Linked DNA regions of Caenorhabditis elegans. The protein of the gene in region 1 purifies or fractionates together with the protein of each later gene. This does not show direct contact. Each region holds a gene or a part of one and is shown in the gene's direction. Other genes may lie near its edges.

Region 1 (6,922 bases):
AAGTTCTAGACATTTTTTCACAACTTGTTCTTCATTTCTTAACATTCAATCTGTTTCAACACAAATACCTTATTATTTTTTATTTAAAAAATGCCGTCTCCACAAAAAATTGATTTTGTGTGCCAAATTGTAACAATACAATTTCACAAAAAAATATTGCTGATATTTTTTCATCCCCGGATTTGTTAACTGAATTTTTCCCATATTTTTCCACAATTTTCCTTAAAAAACACTTACCAGAGTCGGGATGTCCACTGTTCATGGCGTAGAGCTCAATTTTGCTAGAAACTGAATGATTTTAGACAGGAATCTGGCAGAAAAACGGGAAACGCTCGAGAAAACAAATTAATAATTTAATTTTCTAATTTTAAAACCCATTTCATTAAAATAACACACTGATTGTTGGAATATTAAACAAAAAATGACTGAAAACCATGAAAATAAAATGAGCAACAAAACACTTCTCAATAACAAAACATATAACGTGATAAATAAGCAGGAACTGGATTTGAAAAAATAGCTGCATTCATTAAACACGCATCTGAGAAGAAATTGTCGGTGGAGCGTACTTGCTGATCTCCTTGTTCAATGGCCGGTGAGTGTGTGAGTGTGCGTGTTGAGCTAGTCGCTAGTCAGACCACCTGCATAGGCAATTGAACTGTCGGCAAGATTGAAAAAATCGATAACATGCTCTGAAGGACTGTTTAAAAATCCGAAAGTTGATTTTGAAATAAACAAAAGATAAACTGGAAATACAAATATACATTTGCCATGCAGAAGCATTGAGAAAAGATCATCAGACCTTGTTTCAGCAATTATTTAAATTTGAAATGTACACCTTTTTCTACTTGTTTGCTAGAAAATTCTACGCACTGAAAACGTCTGGAACAAATTTTTCAAGCGATTCGACAAAAATCTTCAGAAATGTAAATAATCAAAACTTTTTTTTAGAAACCTATATGTTTTTAATTTAAAAAATCAACGTTGAAATTTTGAGCATTTTAGGAATTGAAAAATGCAAATTTTGCAACAAAAAAAAGCTCTTGCTTCAAAGAGTTCCCAAAAATCCATGTTCTCGGTAGTTCGCCAATTTCTGTGTTTTTTTCGTGAAGGTGGAGTGCGGAGAGAAGGGATGTGACTAAAAACCATTTATATAATGCTAAAGTAACCGTATACCATAGTATAACTTCTCAAAAACATTTGAAAAATTTTTTTATTTCGAGTAAAAAAAGGTGAAATATATAATATGCAGTGGTTTGAATATGCAAACAGTGCTTTAGTTTTCTCGACAAGTGGAGCAAACTCAGTTTTCACCACTTTTTGGCTTGAACTAAGACTCCCGCATTACAGTTTTTCCTTGAAAACTGGGCCCAAATTTAAAAATTAACCATTTCTGGCAAAGAGGATTAACTACTAATGTTAGATTGACATTCTTTTAAAAAAACCTTCTAAGTTTCAGAAATGTAATGTTTCACATTTTCATAAAAAATGAATCATCAAGTATGTTTGCGTACTCTCTCTCTCTCTCTTGGTTTTTTCTCTGTGTGTGCCTTGTACAGCAGCGCCTCATTTGGCCCTCTACTGTCACACTCCCGTACCTTTTGCTTCACGATTCGGTTTTTGTCTTGTTTCGCAATCGTCTTATGATCTGGTGAGAATAAATCCCCTCTCTGTCGATGCCTTTCCTCCAGCAGCAGCAGCCCCATCCGATCGTACGCCATTCGCCCAAGCATTACACTGTTGGAAGGGCAAATACACACACCGGAGGAGCCCTTCTTCCCTTGCTCTCATTTGTAGTCACTTCTCTTTGCCGTCTCGGTTTTTCTCCCCTTTCCTACACAAACACTCCCGAGACCTAGCATATCCTCAAAATCCTCTGTGCCTCCCCCCCCCCCCGTTGCATTTTATTACTGATTTTTCAAAGATTTTGCATAAAAATAGCAACCTTTCAGCCACCGTATGTCGTCTGGAGATGCTCCGTTAGAAGTGGTAGGGGTGGAGAAAATTGGGTCCAAACCTAGAAGCAAAGAATTCTATCCGTTTGCTTACTCTCTTTTAGACTGTACCAAAGACGATTACTGCTGGACATGTCTTGGAGAGAACGTTGAATTGTAAGTTTGACTGAAAAAAAGAGTCTTATGACATACGTTGTTTTCAGAACATGCGAACAATGTAAAGTTGCAAAATTTTGCTCGAAGCAATGTGAAACATCAGGAGCAATTGACCACAAGGTACCTAAACTTAACACATTCAATTTTTAGTACTTGTGCAAAATACCTGCCCCAAAAATTTTACTAATACGTTTTTCATTCATTCATTTCTTCTATAAATGATAATTCAATGAAAACGTGAATGAAGTTTGTTTGTATGTTTAGGCTTGAAAAAACACTAATCCAGATATGGACAGAAAAAGGTCACGAGTACCCAATTTCTACTGAAATTTTTTGTTTTTACTTTTTTTTATATATAGTATGTATGTTATAGTTTTACAACAGTAAAAGGATTTCAAGACTTGTTTTTTATAACCCCTTAATTTTGCAATTGACACTATTTAGATATAATTTACACACATTTTTCTCTTGAAAATAATTCCAATAGGCAATAAAATACTTACGACATGATATTCACTTTTTTTTAGTACGAGTGTGGACCTTTGAAAAAATGCCCGGATTTGAACACTGATGAAAGAATGCTTATTAGAATTGTTGGACGGTATAAGGATATTCATTCTGGAAAAGACAAAAGCATCGATGGATTTTACAACAACCGAGAGAGCAAGAGAAGCGTCATGGAAATTTGGGAGCACTGTGCGGATATGAAAAAAGATGAAAATGCTATGAAATCTTTTAAAAGTAGGGTTTTCGAGTTTTTGAATTATTAAAAATAAAAGAAAACACTTCTAAATTCAGAAACCTACGATAGAGTGAAACAATTCGGCGACACTAATCATTTAATGGATGAAGAAGTAACGTTCCAGCTTCACTCCAGAAACTTCATCAATCGACATAGCATATCGAATGTGGATTATTTACGAGAAATTGGAAAAGGTCTTTATTTGGATCTTTGTAAATACGATCACTCTTGCAGACCTAATGCGGTAAATTTTTTTTAGATGTTTTTCTTAAATGAATGTTTTAATTTTAGATCTACAGTTGTAACGGGATCGTGGCAAAGTTGCGAGCTCTTCATGATAATGTTGATTTAGAAAATGTCGAAACTACACATTACACCTACATTGAATTACCACCGTTAGTATTTTGAGAGTATAATTTTTTTAAACTGTAACTTTAATTTCCAGCTGTAAAATCCAGCGTCGTCATATGCTTAAAGAAACATGGTATTTCGAATGTCACTGTGAAAGATGTGACGATCCAGATGACAACTGGCTAACATCAGTTCTTTGCCCAGTTTGCATTTCAAAGGTATACTTTGTATTAAAAATATATATAACTAACTTATTCATTTTTCAGACAGAATATCGAAAAACAATTAAACTACATGGTCCGGAGGCATATGCGAATCCTGAAACATTGGAGATTGTATGTGATAGATGCAGTACCACGTTGGATAGGGTAAGGATTTTTCACAAAAAAATTGTGTAGAATTGTAGTAAAAAATTTGATAACGAAAATTGTATCAACCGTATTATCCCTGTTAAACACGTCATTGCTCATTTCTGGCGCCTTATATTTCGCCTTACTCAAAATTTTTCGCAAAATGTTTCTCAGTCCACCTGTAGAATAATATTTTGCACGTATTTTCCTCTTCACAACTTTTTTATAAAATTGAAAAAAACACAAGATATACTCGGCATTTGGAGGCAACTTCCTGCCAAATTATGGCAACTTCCTGCCAAGTTTTGCTTGTTTCCAACTTCCTGCCATATTTTGCCAACTTCCTGCCAAATTTTGGCAACATCCTGCCAGCATGTAGCATGCATGGCTTTGGCAACAGTCTGCCAACAGTCTGCCAAACTTCGGCATCAGCTTGCCAACAGCCTGCCAAACTTTTTGGCAACATTTACGGTAAACGTGACGCACTGGCGTAATTTCGGAGCATCGGTGCTTTTCAGCCGAACTTCAAAATTGAATTAATTCAAACTTTGCGGTGGAACTATCGAATTTCGAATTTTAAAAAACTAACAGTGATAGAAAAATTAGTAGATTATCATAAAATGAAAGCAAAGTGGGAATAAGAACGCATACTACACGAAAAACGAAGTAGGATAACTTCATGTCGTCGCGGCTTCTGAATTAATGTTGTAAAACATGCTGTTAAGAAAACCCGACATGATAGAACGAGCTATGCGAAATTGTTTATTCTTTGAGAACAGTTACATCAACTTGCTTACAATAGTCCTTTACATCACCATGTTCTAGAATTACATGTTGGGCATTTCAGAGCTACTTATCTGTGTTTACCTCCTTGAAACTATTTTCTTCAACATTTTTTTACAATTTTCCATTGGATTTCATATTTGAACAACTCTATTCTACTTTATCTTGCGCGCGGGCATAGCTTAGAGGTTAAGGAATTGGGCTGACAGTCACAAGGAGAAGGTCCGGGATCTGGTAGGGCAGAAAAAGGGAAACATGACAGTGCAAGTTGATATCCAGCCGATTGGACTAATTCAAAAAGTAACGTTTTTTTTTCTAATTTTACCTTGTTCTGGTTGAATCGTATGTATGCTAAATTCATTTTATTGATCCCCTTAATACAAAAATAACCATAATCAGTTGAAAAAAAACGAAAAAAGAATTTTTACTGACAACACCTGGGCAACTTCCTGCCAACTTCGTGGCAACTTCCTGCCAACAATTTGGCAACTTATTTTAGTGGCACTAAATAAGTTGCCAGGTTGTTGGCAGGAAGTTGCCAAAGTGTTGCAGGAAGTTGCCTCTGAATGCCGAGTAAGCTGTCAAAGTACAACAGTGGTAGTGCGGGGCTAATAAGAAAAATACGGTAGCTTTTAATTTTTTCATATGGAAGTTGTCGAAAAACCAAAAAAAATGATTAGACATATCTTTTTAATTTTTAACGGTGGTGTATGATCATTGGTTATTTTTCTAAATTTATTCATGACTCAACAAAACCACAATTTTTAGTTAAAGTTTTGGCCAAGGGCCAAATTAAAACTTTTTGACTTTTTGAATAATTTAGCCAATTGTTCCAGTTTTGAACCCCAATGTTGTAATAAAAAAATAATTTAACATCAGTTTATCCCTTTGATGTTTTTTTTAAGTTTTTTTTTTTAGGAATACATCTTCATGGCTCTTGATGGCATGAGAACTATCCGTCGAACTGTAGAAGGAGCTGAAGATGAAACGGTAATTTTTTCCCGTATCGACAAGATGACATATGATATGTTTACAGAAAGATCCCATCGAGCTTCTTAAAATCTACCAAGGAGCACTGATGACCTATGAGCGTATTTTGCCAATGTCAAATGCCTATTTCTGTCAGCTTATTGCTGCAATGATCCCTCTAATCTCAAGAGTAAGCATGACGAAAAAAGAGCGATTGGTGGCTTCTTTGGATCTTCATCTGAAATGTGAAACATTTGTGAGATATGTCTATCGTCATGCTCATCCTTCAAAAGCAATGCACTTTTTGTAAGTTTTAAACACTCTCATAACTTTATTAAATATTGGCGGGTTCAGGCAAATGGGTCAGCTTCACTTGGAGCTCGCCAATGACAAAGATGCGGCAAGATGTTTGATTGAAGCTCATCGCATCATGGATTATCTTTTCGGAGCGGATCATTTCCTGTCAAAGCAGACCAAGGGATTTATGGATCACGCTTTGTCGTCTCTAATGCAATTCCAGAGAAACTTTGTCAATGTTTTGGACCGAGTACCGGAAGCCAAACAGGCATTGGAAGAGCGCTTCATGACGGCCGATGAGAAAAAAGCGCTGAAAGATTCGGAAAAGAATAAGAGGAAAAGAAATAATAAGAAAAACAAGAAAATTGAGCAGAAAAATGAGCAAAAAAGTAGCGGTGAAAATGGAAATTCAAAGACAAAGGGAGTTGAAGACGGATTGGAAGATTTGCCAGAACTTGTTGCTGAAATGTAGTTATTATGTTGTAGTTTGTTGTAATTGTTTACACTTTCCGCTATAATAATTAATTTATCCAATTAATACGTTTTTTCAGTTTTTTTTGCAATAGACTATTTGAACATAAATGTTTTCAATCCCATTTGTTGCATCCAAAACGCGCCAGTTCCAAAAAAATGTCAGGTTTTCAAAAAGTAAATACACTTACTAATAATTATAGGACCCCTTGGACCCCTGACAATAAGTTCTCTCATCGAACCAAACTAAAGCGGTGTAAAAACTTGCAGACTGCGAATGACTGTACGTCTGGCCTTTTGTTGCTCGATCAGAAACCACAATGTTTTGTTCTCTTTCAAAATGTGCTTGTTTTAATTTTCTTTTGAAAATGGAAAATACGTGAATCAATTCTTGAATTCGAGAAAAACATTATAGTTATTGATAACCAAAAAGTTGCAAACTAGCTGCCTTTTTTTAATTTACGGCAAGAGTCGTTCAAGTTTAATCAGGATTTATCCAGGATTGAGCAAGAGTTTGATTTTTTTCAAGATTCGTCCAAGTTTTGGCAGGAATTGTTTTTTTTTCGTTTTAAACTGGGCAGGAGTAGTTTCCCTAACTTTTAGCAGGAGTGTGATTTTTAGCAGGAGTCCGTCTTTTTTCGGGAAGATTGTATACAAATGTTTTTTTTTCGGCGGGAGTTTTGTTTGCCTGACTTGAGTATTAATTATAGGTTCTATAACAGATCTGAAATTTTTTAAAATTCGATTTTAGTTTTGAAATTAAAAAAAAAAACAAAAATAATTGGGACCGCTTATATTTTCAAAATTTTGCAATCATACTGTTGCGGGCCCAGAGCAGTTGGGCGGCT
Region 2 (4,603 bases), on another chromosome or scaffold:
TTTTCAATTCCGCTAATTTGCCGATTTGCCGGGAATTTTCAATTCCGCCGATTTGCCGGAAATTTTTAACTCCGGTACTTTGCCGGAAATTTTCCGGTTAGCTGATTTGCCGGAAATTTTTAACTCCGGCACTTTGCCGGTTAATCGACTTGCCTGAAATTTTCCGGTTAGAGAATTTGCCGGGAATTTTCAATTCGGCCAATTTGCCGGTTTGCCGGGAATTTTCAATTGTGCCAATTTGCCGGTTTGCAGATTTGCCGGGAATTTTGAATTCCGGTAATTTGCCGGTTTGCCGATTTGTCGGATATCAATTTGCCGGAAGTGTTTTTTCCGGCAAATCGGCAATTTTCTGGTTGGCCGATTTGCCTATAATTTCAATTCTGGTAATTTGCTGATTAGCCGGAAAAAATCGTTTGCCGCCCACCACTGGAGTAGAGTCAATTTTTTTGCTTTAAATAATAGAAAATGGGCCGTAATGACTAAATTCAACAGTAAATATTAGTAGGCAAGAATTATAATAACAGTTCAGTTTTGAGTTTAACTACCGTACCCTTACAGTACCCATACATTTAATCAACTCATATGAGTAGGGTAATAGGTGTAAAGAAGCTCTATACAAAGAAAAACTAATCTCATTCATTTTAAGATGTTCCAAGAAAATATTGGTTTCCGTTTCGCATGTTCATATATTTCCAATAACTAACATCTGGATGCAATGCAGGAAAATATTATTGCGGTTAGAATTTCCTGGAAGACGTTGGGAAGATGGGTATTTGTTTTTCAAGCTGGACAATTTTTAGATTATTTGTTTTAGAGCAGTACTTGGATTTGGGGAATTTATGAAAACCTGGAAAACTTAACAGGTAAATAGCTAAATTTGCATAGGGGTTATTTAGATTTTTTTTCGGCAATTTTGTCAGTTGTCAATTTTCCTATGAATAAATTATTTTTGCTATGCAATCTATGCAACAAAAAGAACAACGAAAAACTAACGGAAAGAAGCCCAGAAAAATTATTTAATTAGTGAAAGCGTCGAAAGTTTGGCTCTTTTCTTTTATTTCCAATTAACATATATTCGGTCAGAAAATTTGTAGACTCTATGTGATCAATGTTCTTGACTAGTGAAAAGGTACCGACTATGCATGTTGATAATTGGTAAGTGAGCATAGTTGGTACCTACAATTTCTACGTCACAACATCTTGACCGTTTTTCCCCCACAACGGGAGTGGCCTGTGAGCGTATAGAGAGAGTTGAGTTTGTAGAGATACACAGGCAATATAACTGCCTCCTACATATTTTGCGAGAGAGTGACCTTTAGCAGGTGAGCCTGTACAACAGTTTTGGAGCTGACAAAATCTGATGCTGAAAAAGAATTCGTGTGTCCTGCTGTGTGGAAAAACTGTCAAGATGTTGTGACTTAGAAATTGAATGTACCAATTACCACATGCAAACTAGAGTGCGAATTAAATTATTTCAACTTTCGGTCACTGCGGCATAACATTGACATCATGGCAAAAGTTCAGATTTTCGTTAAATTTGCATTTTTCTCCAAATTGTGAATCAACTTAAAGGGGGAGTAGAGTTTGTGGATATTTTGCTTAAATAGACTAAAACTGGTCCAAAACCACCGAATTTCATAATGAGACATCACAAAAAATTTCGAAAACTTTCGAAAAAAAAAAATACACGAATAGGAACATTGCAATCATTTTTAAATTCTTTTTTATTCTGCTAAGTTCCAGGTAACCCCAAAAAAACTCATGTAGCCAAAAATCTGATCTTCCATTTCACTTCTGTCTTTTTTAATGTCCAATTAACATTATTTCCTAATTAGATAAGAGTGGCAGATCAAGAGCAACCTAAACCAAGTTTTGCCAAAATCTTGCTCAATTTATGGCCCGACACGAGAAAAAGCTAGAGTTAGCACAGAACAGGCATATTTTATTTCTCCTACAGTGTAATACTTGCACGAAACGAAATTATTGTTAACAATGCAACTATTCAGAACCAGCTAGAGCAGCTGACAATGGATGAAACGAAGCTTTTGTCTGAAGTTTCTGGCTCATCGATATCAAGCACTTTGTGGTTCTACAACACTGTGATTATGAACAGCGTTGTTGAACGTCTCGATTTTTTTGATATGTATGTAAAGTCTTTTGATTTTTTTTAGCTTGAATTTTATTTTTTCAGACAAGTGCTCCGTAAAATTTCTTATGGAAGCCGTCAGTGCATCGACCTTATCAAACCAGACCATAAATTACTCAAAATCGGCATTCATGTTCAAAGCATTGGGTGCGCACTTCTTGAGATGTTTACCGAATCCACAAACCGAAAAGTTTCATATAAGGCTTCAAGATTATCCAGAAAATCTAGCGAGTTGGATTACGGCAACTTTTCAAACGACTTGTTCCTTATTTTGAAAAATCAAAAATCTGCTTTGGAAGAACTTAAAATGAATTTTATGCAAGTTGATGAAACCAGCGAGTCAAGTTTCAAGGATGTTACGGAAGAAGAAAAAAAATACATGGATGAAATTGAGGGGAATCCCCAGGAAACAGAAAGTCATTCAATCTGGGACCAGAATGAGAATCGATTTTTGAAATCGTTCAAAGATTTGCACGCCTCGCTGGGTCGATTGCTGCCAGTGGAAAAGTTGGTTGTCACAACAAGAAACCAAAAAACCATAGTGCAACTGCTCCAATCCGTGGATCCCTCTAAGCTGAACAAAATTGAGTTTGGAACATCTTTCGACGTACCTGCAAGTGATGTATGGAGCATTGAAGAGTTTTTGGTCATGGAACAATGGAGGAATGCGAAAGAGTTGACAATTATTAAGCGTGTTATCAAGTGTGATGTTGAAAATCTTGTTCACTTCAGAAAAGTTGACATAATTTTGGATTCGTTATCATTGAAAAATGTTATATATTTGAGAGATGTGAGTTCGAATATCTCATGTAATTTTTAAAAAAAAATAATTTCAGATGTTCCTAGTTTCACCGGACTTTCTCCAGTTCAAGGTCACATTTGTGAACAGTGACGTAAATAATTCTATATTTCAAGAAGGATTTTTGGGAATTCCGTTTCGCATAGTTACCGATTCTACAAATAATCAACCTAGCATTTGGTTTTTCAATTGCATGAACGACACAGATGATCTACAAATTCGATATTATCAAAATCTTAAAAAATTCATGTTTAATCGTATTCCGAGGGAATCTAGTCCGGCTATTCCGAGGGAATCTAGTCCGGCTAGGTGCTAGAGCTGTTGTAAAGGTCACTTCCCTGTTCCTCGCCAACGGGACGAAAAGTTGTCCCTAATGATTTTTTTTTCAAATATTAATTTTTCACCTGATTTAAACTAGGGCTCCCATGAGGTCGCCGCAAAGGCGCCTTCGCCCGCCTCAGCGGTCGCCGCGCCGGCCTCACGGCGTCACTCTCGCCTTTCACTGAATTACACATAAACTTTTATTTTCATTTCTTATATTTTTTTTCTAAATTTTCAACGAATTTTTGAAAATTAAAATTTAAAATTCACGTCATTATTATTGAAAGCGGCGAACGGCGAAGGCGAAGGCCGGCCGGCGTGAGGCCGGCGTGAGGCCCGCATTTTGCGCCTCACTCAGCTGGGAACCCTAATTTAAACAATACTTTCATGTGCATGAATCTTTTGTACGTTTAAATATAATTTTTAATGGCGTGGATATAGATATTTCACGTACTATTTTTATAAATAAATAAATTCACTTATAATAAATTTAAACATTTATTTCTTAATTATTCTCAATTTACTGTGCACCTTTTCATATTTTACGGTAAAGTTAAATGTATCTAAATATTTGTTTAACCTGAAAATATTGTGCAACATAAAAAAAAAAAAAATATATATATATACAAAATGGACGCACTTTGACAAAATGAAAGCATAAATCAATAATAAGTCTCACTATGAGAAATGATTGAATAATTAAATAAATAAAAAATTTCAAGCTGGAAACTTGCTGGAAAAGGTGATAATTGAACTTTTTCTTAATTAAGAAATTTTCTTCAAACGAATGTTTCCGCGGTATTAAATTTTTTTATTGAAGCAAAAAGCGCAGAGATCGAAGATTTTTACATAAAAATTCCATATATTCCAACAAACATGGAAGAATTTTGAAAGAAGCACATGAGAAAAAGCACCGAATAATGATGAATTTTTAACCAAAAAATTCGAAAAAAATCACAAAAATACAGAAAAATTGAAGAAGCCGGGTGATTGAAAAAAAATCAATAAATTCATAGAAGAAATTGAGCAAATGATCCGGGGGGCGGGGAATTCAATATCTTACATTAAAAAAAACATGCTAAAATGTGAGAGTACTTCGTGTCAAGACCCGTTAAATTTGAAGAGAGGATTTTTTTTATAATTTTTTAGAAAAAAAAAGGAAGATTAGGAGATTTGAGGAGGTGTCCTACGGGATCCGTTTACCTGAAAATATTGATTTTTTTTTATTTGTAACTATTTCCGTGCGAAATTTGAAATTTTTACCGCCAAATGGAAAATTTTTGAATTTTCGGCGCCAAAAACTATATACTCGAAATTTTTGAAAAAACCGACAAAAT
Region 3 (5,814 bases), 9.6 Mb from region 1:
AATTTTTTAAACCGTTAAGCTCAGTAGTAACGAAGACTTCCAACATTGTTCAAGAGCCATGAACAATTTCTGAACCTTTGATTACTTGATCAAACTATTTCTAAACTTTGATAATCTCCTGTTGCTTCAACGTCATATTCAGTGACAGCTGACTTCAACGAACTTCCCACGCATTCTTATCACAGTTTGCCACTATTTGGAGGTCTTTCATTGAAAGTCCCGAGGTGATTATTTGTTCAATTCGTCACTCAAAAAAACTTTTTTTTGTGAAACGGAATAAACATGATCAGAGTCATACACACACACAACACAGCGGTTTTTGTTCATTATTTCCGAATTGGTCTGATCAAATACTGATCATATATCGGTGGCGCAAATCACACAGAACACGTTTTTAAAAGTCGATTTGAAACAGTTTTTGATCATTTTTGGTCTCTGAGGGCACTGTCGATAGGTGCGGTTTCTCTTCTTTTTTTTTCTTTATACGTGAATTGCCTAGTTGAACTTTAATTTTTCGAATACAAGACATAAATCCAAAGTTTTTATTACTTGGATAATGATTTGGGTTTACCTTTCCCAGAGCCGGCAATCTACTATGGCTTGTAGTTATAATTTATTACTTTTATTCTTTTTAGGAAATTGCAAAGTCTTACTGTACCGTAGGCTTGAACTTTTATGTTAAAGTTGGAAAACAAACTTGAAAAACACCACGTTGACCTTTTTTATTTTTAGCTCAACAACAACGCAGAGTTTAAAGTTTTTGTTTCTCAAGTTAACTATTTCAAAATCACGTTTGTTGTTCTATGATCCATGTTGTTCTCACAAGTTCTTTCAGCAAGCAAAAACTGCAAAACGACGCTATGGGTATTATGTTGTTGGTTCGCCAGGATCGGCACAATCAAGTTTTTCGGGAGGCGCCGTCTATCAATTAAAAGCGACCTCTGATACTTTAGAAACTGGAATCGAACCGACGGTGATCAAAGATTGGGGCGGTGCGGGTTTTCGATTTTCTTGAAATAATGTTTCATCTTTATTCGCTGGGTCCGGCCTCCAACATTCTCTAGTAGTTTGTTCATTTCGATGATCGGTGTGCTCACTTCAACGATCAGTCCTCTCGCTCCCCTAACCGACCATTGCGAAATCTGCGCAATATACTAGCTACATAGACAACTGACTGTGTATGTGTGTGTGTGTTGCCCCCGCCCACTTTGTGTTCTATTGATCTCTGAACATTAACCGCTCGCTTGGAAGAGACCTCCCTCCTTTCCTCGTTTTCCCAGTCTTTTTACAATTGGTCTTCTTCTCCTTTCTCTTCCATCGTGCCCCGCTTTTATCTCTGAAGAAGATGGAGAAAAAGCTTCTACTCTTTCCCCTCTTCTAACCCCTTAAAATATTCTCCGCCTATGGGTCCGTCGCACAAACCACACCCCATTTGCTCTTGCGCCCTTTGCTCATTCAGTCAGTTCAATGCTTTAAAACATCATAGACGTAGACGTTTCATCATATCATTCCTCCTATGCACTACATCACCGAATATCGTACACTCCTATCCGTTTTTTTGTCTTGTCTTGTAAGATAAGCTATTAAAAGATATTTTAACAGTTTAGTTCCATTGAACTGATAAGAAGCTGATTCCCGCTCCCTTTCTCTCATTATTACTTTCCATTCATACTTGATCTTGTCAACGTACCATTAGGTACAGTCTCACCCGTTTTGCTTTTATCATTTGTTGCGCATCTTTGAATGACCAAAGATCTTACTCATCGTCTGCTGTCCCTGTATTCCTCGCATTGTACGATTTTGATGGCCTGTCATCTGAATTGTCTTATGCGTCTTCGCGCCAAGATCAACTGTTTATTGATCGTAGTCATGTAGTCAATCAGTCAGCACAGTCATACATTCCATACAAAATTGTGAAATCAGTTCGGTTTTCTGGTTTCACTGATTATGTAGTGCGCCCCATAACTATGACTTTGATTTTGATTCTGATTTTCGACCGTCCTCAAAAGACCCAATTGATAAGAGATTGATAATCATTTCCTTCATAGGTTGCACTTGACCGGTGTCTTGTTTTTTGTCACTCTCTAAATATGATACGTTGACTTCCTCATAATATTTTTGTTTCATCTTGACTGTCCATCATTTAATTTTATTCCAGCTATGACTGATACCCAATCCCCGTTTTCATTTGCCGCCGCACTATTGCAATGCGGTTCGCCCGGTCAAACATTTTCAATGGAATCCCTGTTAAAACCGGAATTAGGAGAGTATTCTCCTTCCGGAGAGAATGGAATTGATGGCGAAGAATCAACGATCTGGTATGTGAACGATCATATGATCCCAATCTACTTTTGTCTTTTTTTTACAGTTCTGTATGTTGTGATGAGGCATCCGGAAGACATTACGGTGTTGTCGCCTGCTTCGGATGCAAAGGATTTTTCAGACGTACTGTACGAGCTGGAAAAAACTATGTGTGTCGTTACAGTAAAAAGTGCCGAATTGATAAAGGTGAGTTTTTGCGTGATTTGTGTTCAAGGATCTTACCCATCATGCTTTCAGCTGGACGAAATGTGTGTAGATCGTGCAGATTCCAAAAATGCTTAGAAGTCGGTATGGAGCCTGATGCAATCCGTCCTGATCGCGATAAGACAGGACGCCAAAAGAACCCAAGAAGAAACACCGAAGGCTCGATCAAAAAAGTCTCTGTTGGATCTATTCTAGGCGACCTTCCATGTCTGAATAAATTCAAGGACGACAGCGACGACGCCGCCACTTCACCATCATCAAGAGCTGATTCCGCTCCAATGGACCTCCGACCGAGCTTTATTGATGAATCTGTATTAACAACATTGACAGAAATTGAGAATATTGTGATACAACTGCAAGACAATTTCGAAACAAATCAACAAAGCCTTCCACCAATGGGAGAAGCGATTACGAAACCATCCCTTATTGCTGCTAGGACACTGGTGAGTTGTACATTATTGTGAAATAAGTTTTAATGAAACTGATCATTTTGGTTTAGTTAAACTTCAACGGCGCAAAAGGAGTTGCCGATGCAAATTGTGTGTCATCAAATCTTCGGCGAATGATCGTTTTCACTTTTGACTACATCAATACGTTACGTCCAATTGCTGATTTGCATCCATCGGAAAAGGTACAACACTTTGATCTTAGACCTCGTTTCCCCTACTCCCCATTTTTCAGCTGGTCATTGCCAGAAGCATCATTTCCCCGTTCTGTATCTTGTTCTGTGGTTACCAGTCGGTAGCGATCGAGGCACCAGAACACGACAGTATTTATCTCCCATCAGGACACAAGCTACCCGCCAGCCAGCTGCTATTTACAAAAGACTCGGACCAAAAGAAGTACATACTGTTGGAAAACAAAGCCGAGTAAGTGCAGAGTTGATCATTGAACCCATCCACATAGGCGATCGCTCGTCACGCTCGTCATTGCTACTGATCATTGTTTGTCAATGTGTCTGCAGTGTGTCTGCTCTTTTCGTTCTTTTGTCGATCGAAACCCCCCAGCAACTTTCCATGGAAAAGTGTGTGTGTGTGTGTCTTAAGATAGAATGCTGTAAAGTGTGGGTGGGATAAAGAAGATCTGATCTTAGAACCTTTTTTCTTGTTATTTTAAGCTATCCATCACAAGCTCGCCGATTTTTAGTGCATTAATGCTCTCGCCCCATGAGTGGTCCCTTGGTGATCAATGTCATGCCTAAATCTGAGATCATATTGCCACCCATGGTGATCAGATTATGCAGCAGAAGAAACAACATAGGTCTTGTTTTCTGCTCTCTATTTTTTGATTTCCCGCCTTTAGATCACACGTATAGTTTTTTTTCTTTCTTTGCGCCGCCCTTACCCCTTCCCTTCCCTTCCGCAACAAAAATAAAATTTGCTCTTTGATGTTTGTGAGATCGATGAGAATACACATTTACATACGGAGTGGAAAGCACAAGTCGGGAAGCTAGAGACGCAGCCAGTTCCTCCCCTTCCCGCTATGAAAATGACACCACTCGGTGTTTGAAAGACAAGCGAGAAACTGCAAAATAGTGTGGCTTTTAAAGAGTGACGGGCGAAAAGTAAAGTGCGCACCGCTGCGACGACTGCATTTGGTCGGTGTTGATCTCTTGAACTTTGATCATTGTTGGACTGGCTGAGCGAAAGTGTCTTGTGGTTTGGTTGCGCTAGTCATGTAATATGACGGGAAGTAGGAAAGATGAGAGAGCGCATTATTTGCCTGTGATGATGATGATGATGGTGTTGATGAGTGTTTAAAAGAAAACACAATAATATTGTTTTCGTTTTTGCAGCAATGTCCGACGAAACATGACTGAAATGATTATCCAACAGCTCCGTCGCCTCAATGTAACAAAGACTGAAATGGTTGCACTGAAAGCGATTATGGCATTGGATCACAACGTGAAAGGATTATCCGCCGAATCTTGCGAGCTTCTCGTAGTTGCAAGAGAATCGGTGCAAAATGCTCTGTTCTCCCATTTAATTGCAACATTTGGAACTGCGGAGGCAACATCGCGATTTGCACACCTCCTTCTTTTAATTGCTTCTGCAACGGTAATAGAATCAAGATCAAAAGATCAGCTTTCTCATCATCTTCTATTTTCAGAGGGTCGCCTACTCGCTCTCCTCGTTCTTCCAGCTCAGCAGAGACGTCAACTATGAAATCGATTATGTGCTTGAAGAGCTTTTATTTTTAGACCGCATTTGAATTGTTTCGGAAGTTAAATGTACTTCACCTTTTTTGTATACACCAGCCTACCTACAGTAATTCTTATTACTCGAATAGCTTGATTATGTTGTCATACTTCATTTCAATACTGTCAGTGTTTCATTGTGACGGGTACACACACTTTCTACACATTGATTAATTATATTAATTAATTGATCTGAGCTTCTCCTTATCTCTCATTTTTTTCTCCAATAATTTCAATTTCTTCTGTCTTCCCACTCGGTCTCGTGTTTGTCCAGAGTTGCCAAACTATTGTTACCTCAATGACATTATTATGTATAGTTTACCTATTAAATATATGTAATAATAAATATAAATTATATTATCAAATCTAACAGTACTGTTCAAAATAGAATTTGATATCAGACATACACCACCATCAAAAACCATTTTTTCAAACATTAAATGTCTATTACTTTCGTACTAAAACATCATGCACGTCAGTTCCCTTCTAGACCGGAAGTAGGTAGTTTATGCCGTTTTCTCTCTCTCTCTCTCCATTTCCTTTTTCCCTTCAAAGATTGCGTTTCGTTTATGCTACTGGAGGCCTGCAGCACGAAGAGATGAAGACGTGCACGTAGGCCACCATCATAGAGGCCACAGAATAAAAGTGCAAGTGGTCGGCTACTGCTTTGCACAAATCTTACACAACGTCGCTCTTTGGTCTTCTCGGGGGGAGAAAAGAGGCAAAAAGAGTAGTCCCGCTCCCCTACTTTTTGCTATACTCGATCCCATTTCTCCGCTTCATTCTCTTACTCCTTCTCTCTCTCTGTTCTTTAATCTACTTTCGCGCTCTGCGACGCTTGTGCGTGACCAGAACACACCAACTGCTAGCAGAAAAATCAAAGAGAACAACCATTTGGTGTATCACAAGGACCTGGGCAAGCCGCTCGCCCCAATTTGCTCCAGAAATAGCATCAAGACGTTTTTTTTTCAACAACCAACTAGTTGTACACAATTCGGATATAAAGTCACATGCGAACCAGGAGAAGTAGGGCGACTAATGATCACTAGAACATTAAGAACTGAACAACGCTGTCGAATAACAAGTTTCAA
Region 4 (2,869 bases), on another chromosome or scaffold:
GCCAGATATACGGTAGCCGGTCTCGCCACGAACAATTTTAGTTAAATGCGACAAGGTCTCGGTTGTTGCGGAATTTTTATAGAATTTCATAGTTTTTTAGACAAAAAACACTTTTATTTATGTTTAAAACAACTCAAATATAACAATAAAACGCATGAATTCCAACAAATCGATGCTACAGTAATCTTTAAAGGCACACGTCTTTTCACATTTCCTATGCTTGTCGTGTCGAGACCGTGTGCCGTATTTCTGGCGCAAAAAACAACAAAATTTCGCTTTTGAACAATAATTAAATAAAAAAGAAATTTAAAAAATGAGACGTGGGAATTGTATACGGTTAATTTCAAAGAATTCACGGGAAAATTCATTGAAAAAATTCAAATCTCAGAAAAAAAGTGAAGAGTGAACAGTTTTAGAAACCTTGTCAGTTTGGAAAACTACGTGATAACTCAAAAGAACGGAAGAAAGTTTCTCACTTTTCCGTGTCTCTCTGTAATCTCTTGACAAAGCCCACTATTTCAGGCCATCAGAGAACAGGGTCGGGAGGATCACGCCACTCGTTTCAACACTCAGTAGTCCACAGCTTGCACTACCCACATTGTTTCTCCGTCTGCGTATCCACGTCTTATGTTGTCTCTCGCATTGTCTTTCTATTTCTGAGTCTCTTGCACCTCTCTGTCATCATGCATATATACAATTGAAATGGAAAGGACAGACTGCACTAAACCGAAAAGCACGTGGTCTTGTCTGGGAGGAGAAGAATGTTGAAGACAAATCACACGACAACGTGATATGTGACGTCACAGAGGGGAGTCCCCACGTGACAGGTACTTTAATGAGACAGAGAAAGTTCGAAATGTTGAGTCACGAATCGCGAACGGAATTGAGCCGAGTGGAAAAAAAGAGTTGGAAATTTCGAGATGAGCAGCCAGCTGATTTAGTCTACAGTAATCTAGAATAACTAAACAAAAGTTTTTGAACCTATTCCAGCTTTATGAGTCATGAAAAATGGAGCGCAGCAATAAAAATATGGTGTACGAATTTCAGGAAATACTTCTCGTTAACAAAGATAGTTTGAAACTACAGTACTGTTCAAAGCGCTGACATGGTTGTGTCTAAGAAAAATTGTCGTACCGAGACCTGGTACCGTATTATTATAGCAAAAATCGCGAAAATCTGCATCTGAATAATATCAACTACATAACTGAGATCGTGGCGAGACCCTAATGAAATTACGATAATATAAATAATATTGATTCAAAACTGTGATTCTTGCTTCTAGTTGTTGCAACACATTCTGATCTGTGTCTCCCTAACCTACTTCCGATTTTCACCAAAAAAACCGTGTGCCCAACCCAAAATTCAAGGTCAAACTTATTTCCATTTCCCCGTACTAATTGTTTCCATGTCATCCCATTTCTGTCCATCCTGCGCACATAACATTGACAAATGGAGTTGTGTATTTATTGTCGAGTGCACGCTCTTTTCTTCGAGCGACATGTTTTCTCAGCTGGCTGAGCATTTTTTCCCGTTGGTTTTTATGTTGCGAAACGACAATTTCTCTTTTTTTTAAAATATTTTCAAGCCGAATTTCAAAATTTTAGAATTAAAATGCAAGTTGTTCGAATTCAAACCAACATCCGAAGTGCTGATATTCCAGAAAAGTTTGAAGTAAGTTTGCATAAAACGAAATTTCTAATTTCTAATATTTTCAGCAAGATGTGATCTACAATTTATCAGTTGTAATGGAATTACCAGCTGATAAATTCGTGATTATTGTTGAGCCGGCAGTTAGAATGAGAATTGGATTTGAGAATAAAGAAATTCCAGTTGCAATTGTAAATGTGCGTTTTTTTTTATTTTGAAAAAATATTAGGCTTGGGTCTTGTCACGTGTAAAATTTTTCAGCTACAGTAACCTGTGTATTTTTCAAAATCTGAAAACTTTTTTATAATTAAAATTTTTTTAATCGAGAAGAAATGTGTGAAAAATAGAAAAACTAACTAGATTCATAAAATATAAGTTAATTTTATGAGAAAAATATTTTTAACTAAAAAGTGATAGAATACCGGGGTACGGTAGCTGACAAGTTTTGGACGTGCCGGGACCAGAGACCGTGTTTTTTTTTTTTGAAAATGTCAACTCGTTGAAAATTAAGAATAACAATTTTCAGTTCCAAACAACCCGGCCTTCTTCTCGAATCGAAAATGACTCATATGCAAAAAAATTGACATCAGTGCTCAATGAGCAGTTGAAGCTTGATCCCGCCCATATTTTCATATCATTTGATTTTAAAGATGCAAAAAGTTTTGCAACTCAAGGGAAGACAATTGCTTCTTTGTATGAATAAATTTGTAAAAAAGTTGAAACGCATGGATTTAACAATGAAGTAAACATCTGAAAACATCGAAAAAAACAAGACAAAGCATAATTCATAAGTTATTTTATAGCAAAAGGGAGGGAGCAAAATTAGCATTAATGAGAAATAGAAACTTTGACAAGAAAATGTAAAAATAAGTTATGCTGAATATAATGACTAGAGTTACATAAATTATTGAACGGAATGTGAATAAGAAATCACACATTAATTTAGTTACAGAAAAGCTGGAAATAGTTTGAGATTGAGCTGGCTTATTGGCTTTGCTGTTGGATGTTGGTGAGCTTGGATTCTGAAATTAAAAATCTTTGAATTTTTTCTTGAAAGGCTTAACCTACCGAGTTGGGTAACATAATTTTCAAGAACAGCGGTAGCTTCCTCCAATCTCCGGGTGCTCTCATCCATAGCATCAATTTGGGAAAGATATGGACGCAGATTCTCGTCTGGAAAATAATCTTTCATAAATTTTCCGAAATAAATAATAAAGGCATA

What was found.
Region 2: the proteins of set-30 (region 1) and R05C11.2 fractionate together in Caenorhabditis elegans (co-fractionation; one large-scale study listed by BioGRID). This does not show direct contact.
Region 3: the proteins of set-30 (region 1) and nhr-3 fractionate together in Caenorhabditis elegans (co-fractionation; one large-scale study listed by BioGRID). This does not show direct contact.
Region 4: the proteins of set-30 (region 1) and mif-4 fractionate together in Caenorhabditis elegans (co-fractionation; one large-scale study listed by BioGRID). This does not show direct contact.

The regions. Positions count from the first base shown.
Region 1 is NC_003284.9:4,997,318-5,004,239, forward strand, and holds set-30 (MYND-type domain-containing protein), read left to right. Parts: upstream 1-1,952; 5' UTR 1,953-1,959; coding exon 1,960-2,111; intron 2,112-2,158; coding exon 2,159-2,231; intron 2,232-2,638; coding exon 2,639-2,852; intron 2,853-2,909; coding exon 2,910-3,097; intron 3,098-3,144; coding exon 3,145-3,248; intron 3,249-3,298; coding exon 3,299-3,422; intron 3,423-3,470; coding exon 3,471-3,572; intron 3,573-5,255; coding exon 5,256-5,327; intron 5,328-5,373; coding exon 5,374-5,612; intron 5,613-5,660; coding exon 5,661-6,075; 3' UTR 6,076-6,199; downstream 6,200-6,922. Other genes in the region: ZC8.6 (Phosphatidylinositol 4-kinase type 2), read right to left, coding at 238-262.
Region 2 is NC_003282.8:2,056,536-2,061,138, reverse strand, and holds R05C11.2 (DUF38 domain-containing protein), read left to right. Parts: upstream 1-2,027; coding exon 2,028-2,143; intron 2,144-2,191; coding exon 2,192-2,936; intron 2,937-2,982; coding exon 2,983-3,261; 3' UTR 3,262-3,761; downstream 3,762-4,603. Other genes in the region: R05C11.4 (Protein shisa-9), read right to left, coding at 4,431-4,469.
Region 3 is NC_003284.9:14,556,346-14,562,159, forward strand, and holds nhr-3 (Nuclear hormone receptor family member nhr-3), read left to right. Parts: upstream 1-2,158; 5' UTR 2,159-2,160; coding exon 2,161-2,318; intron 2,319-2,368; coding exon 2,369-2,508; intron 2,509-2,559; coding exon 2,560-2,969; intron 2,970-3,025; coding exon 3,026-3,157; intron 3,158-3,207; coding exon 3,208-3,395; intron 3,396-4,321; coding exon 4,322-4,583; intron 4,584-4,635; coding exon 4,636-4,737; 3' UTR 4,738-5,078; downstream 5,079-5,814. UniProt on the Caenorhabditis elegans protein: Orphan nuclear receptor.
Region 4 is NC_003282.8:6,334,730-6,337,598, reverse strand, and holds mif-4 (Macrophage migration inhibitory factor), read left to right. Parts: upstream 1-1,604; 5' UTR 1,605-1,611; coding exon 1,612-1,671; intron 1,672-1,715; coding exon 1,716-1,844; intron 1,845-2,173; coding exon 2,174-2,350; 3' UTR 2,351-2,369; downstream 2,370-2,869. Other genes in the region: blos-2 (Biogenesis of lysosome-related organelles complex 1 subunit 2), read right to left, coding at 2,632-2,669, 2,716-2,820.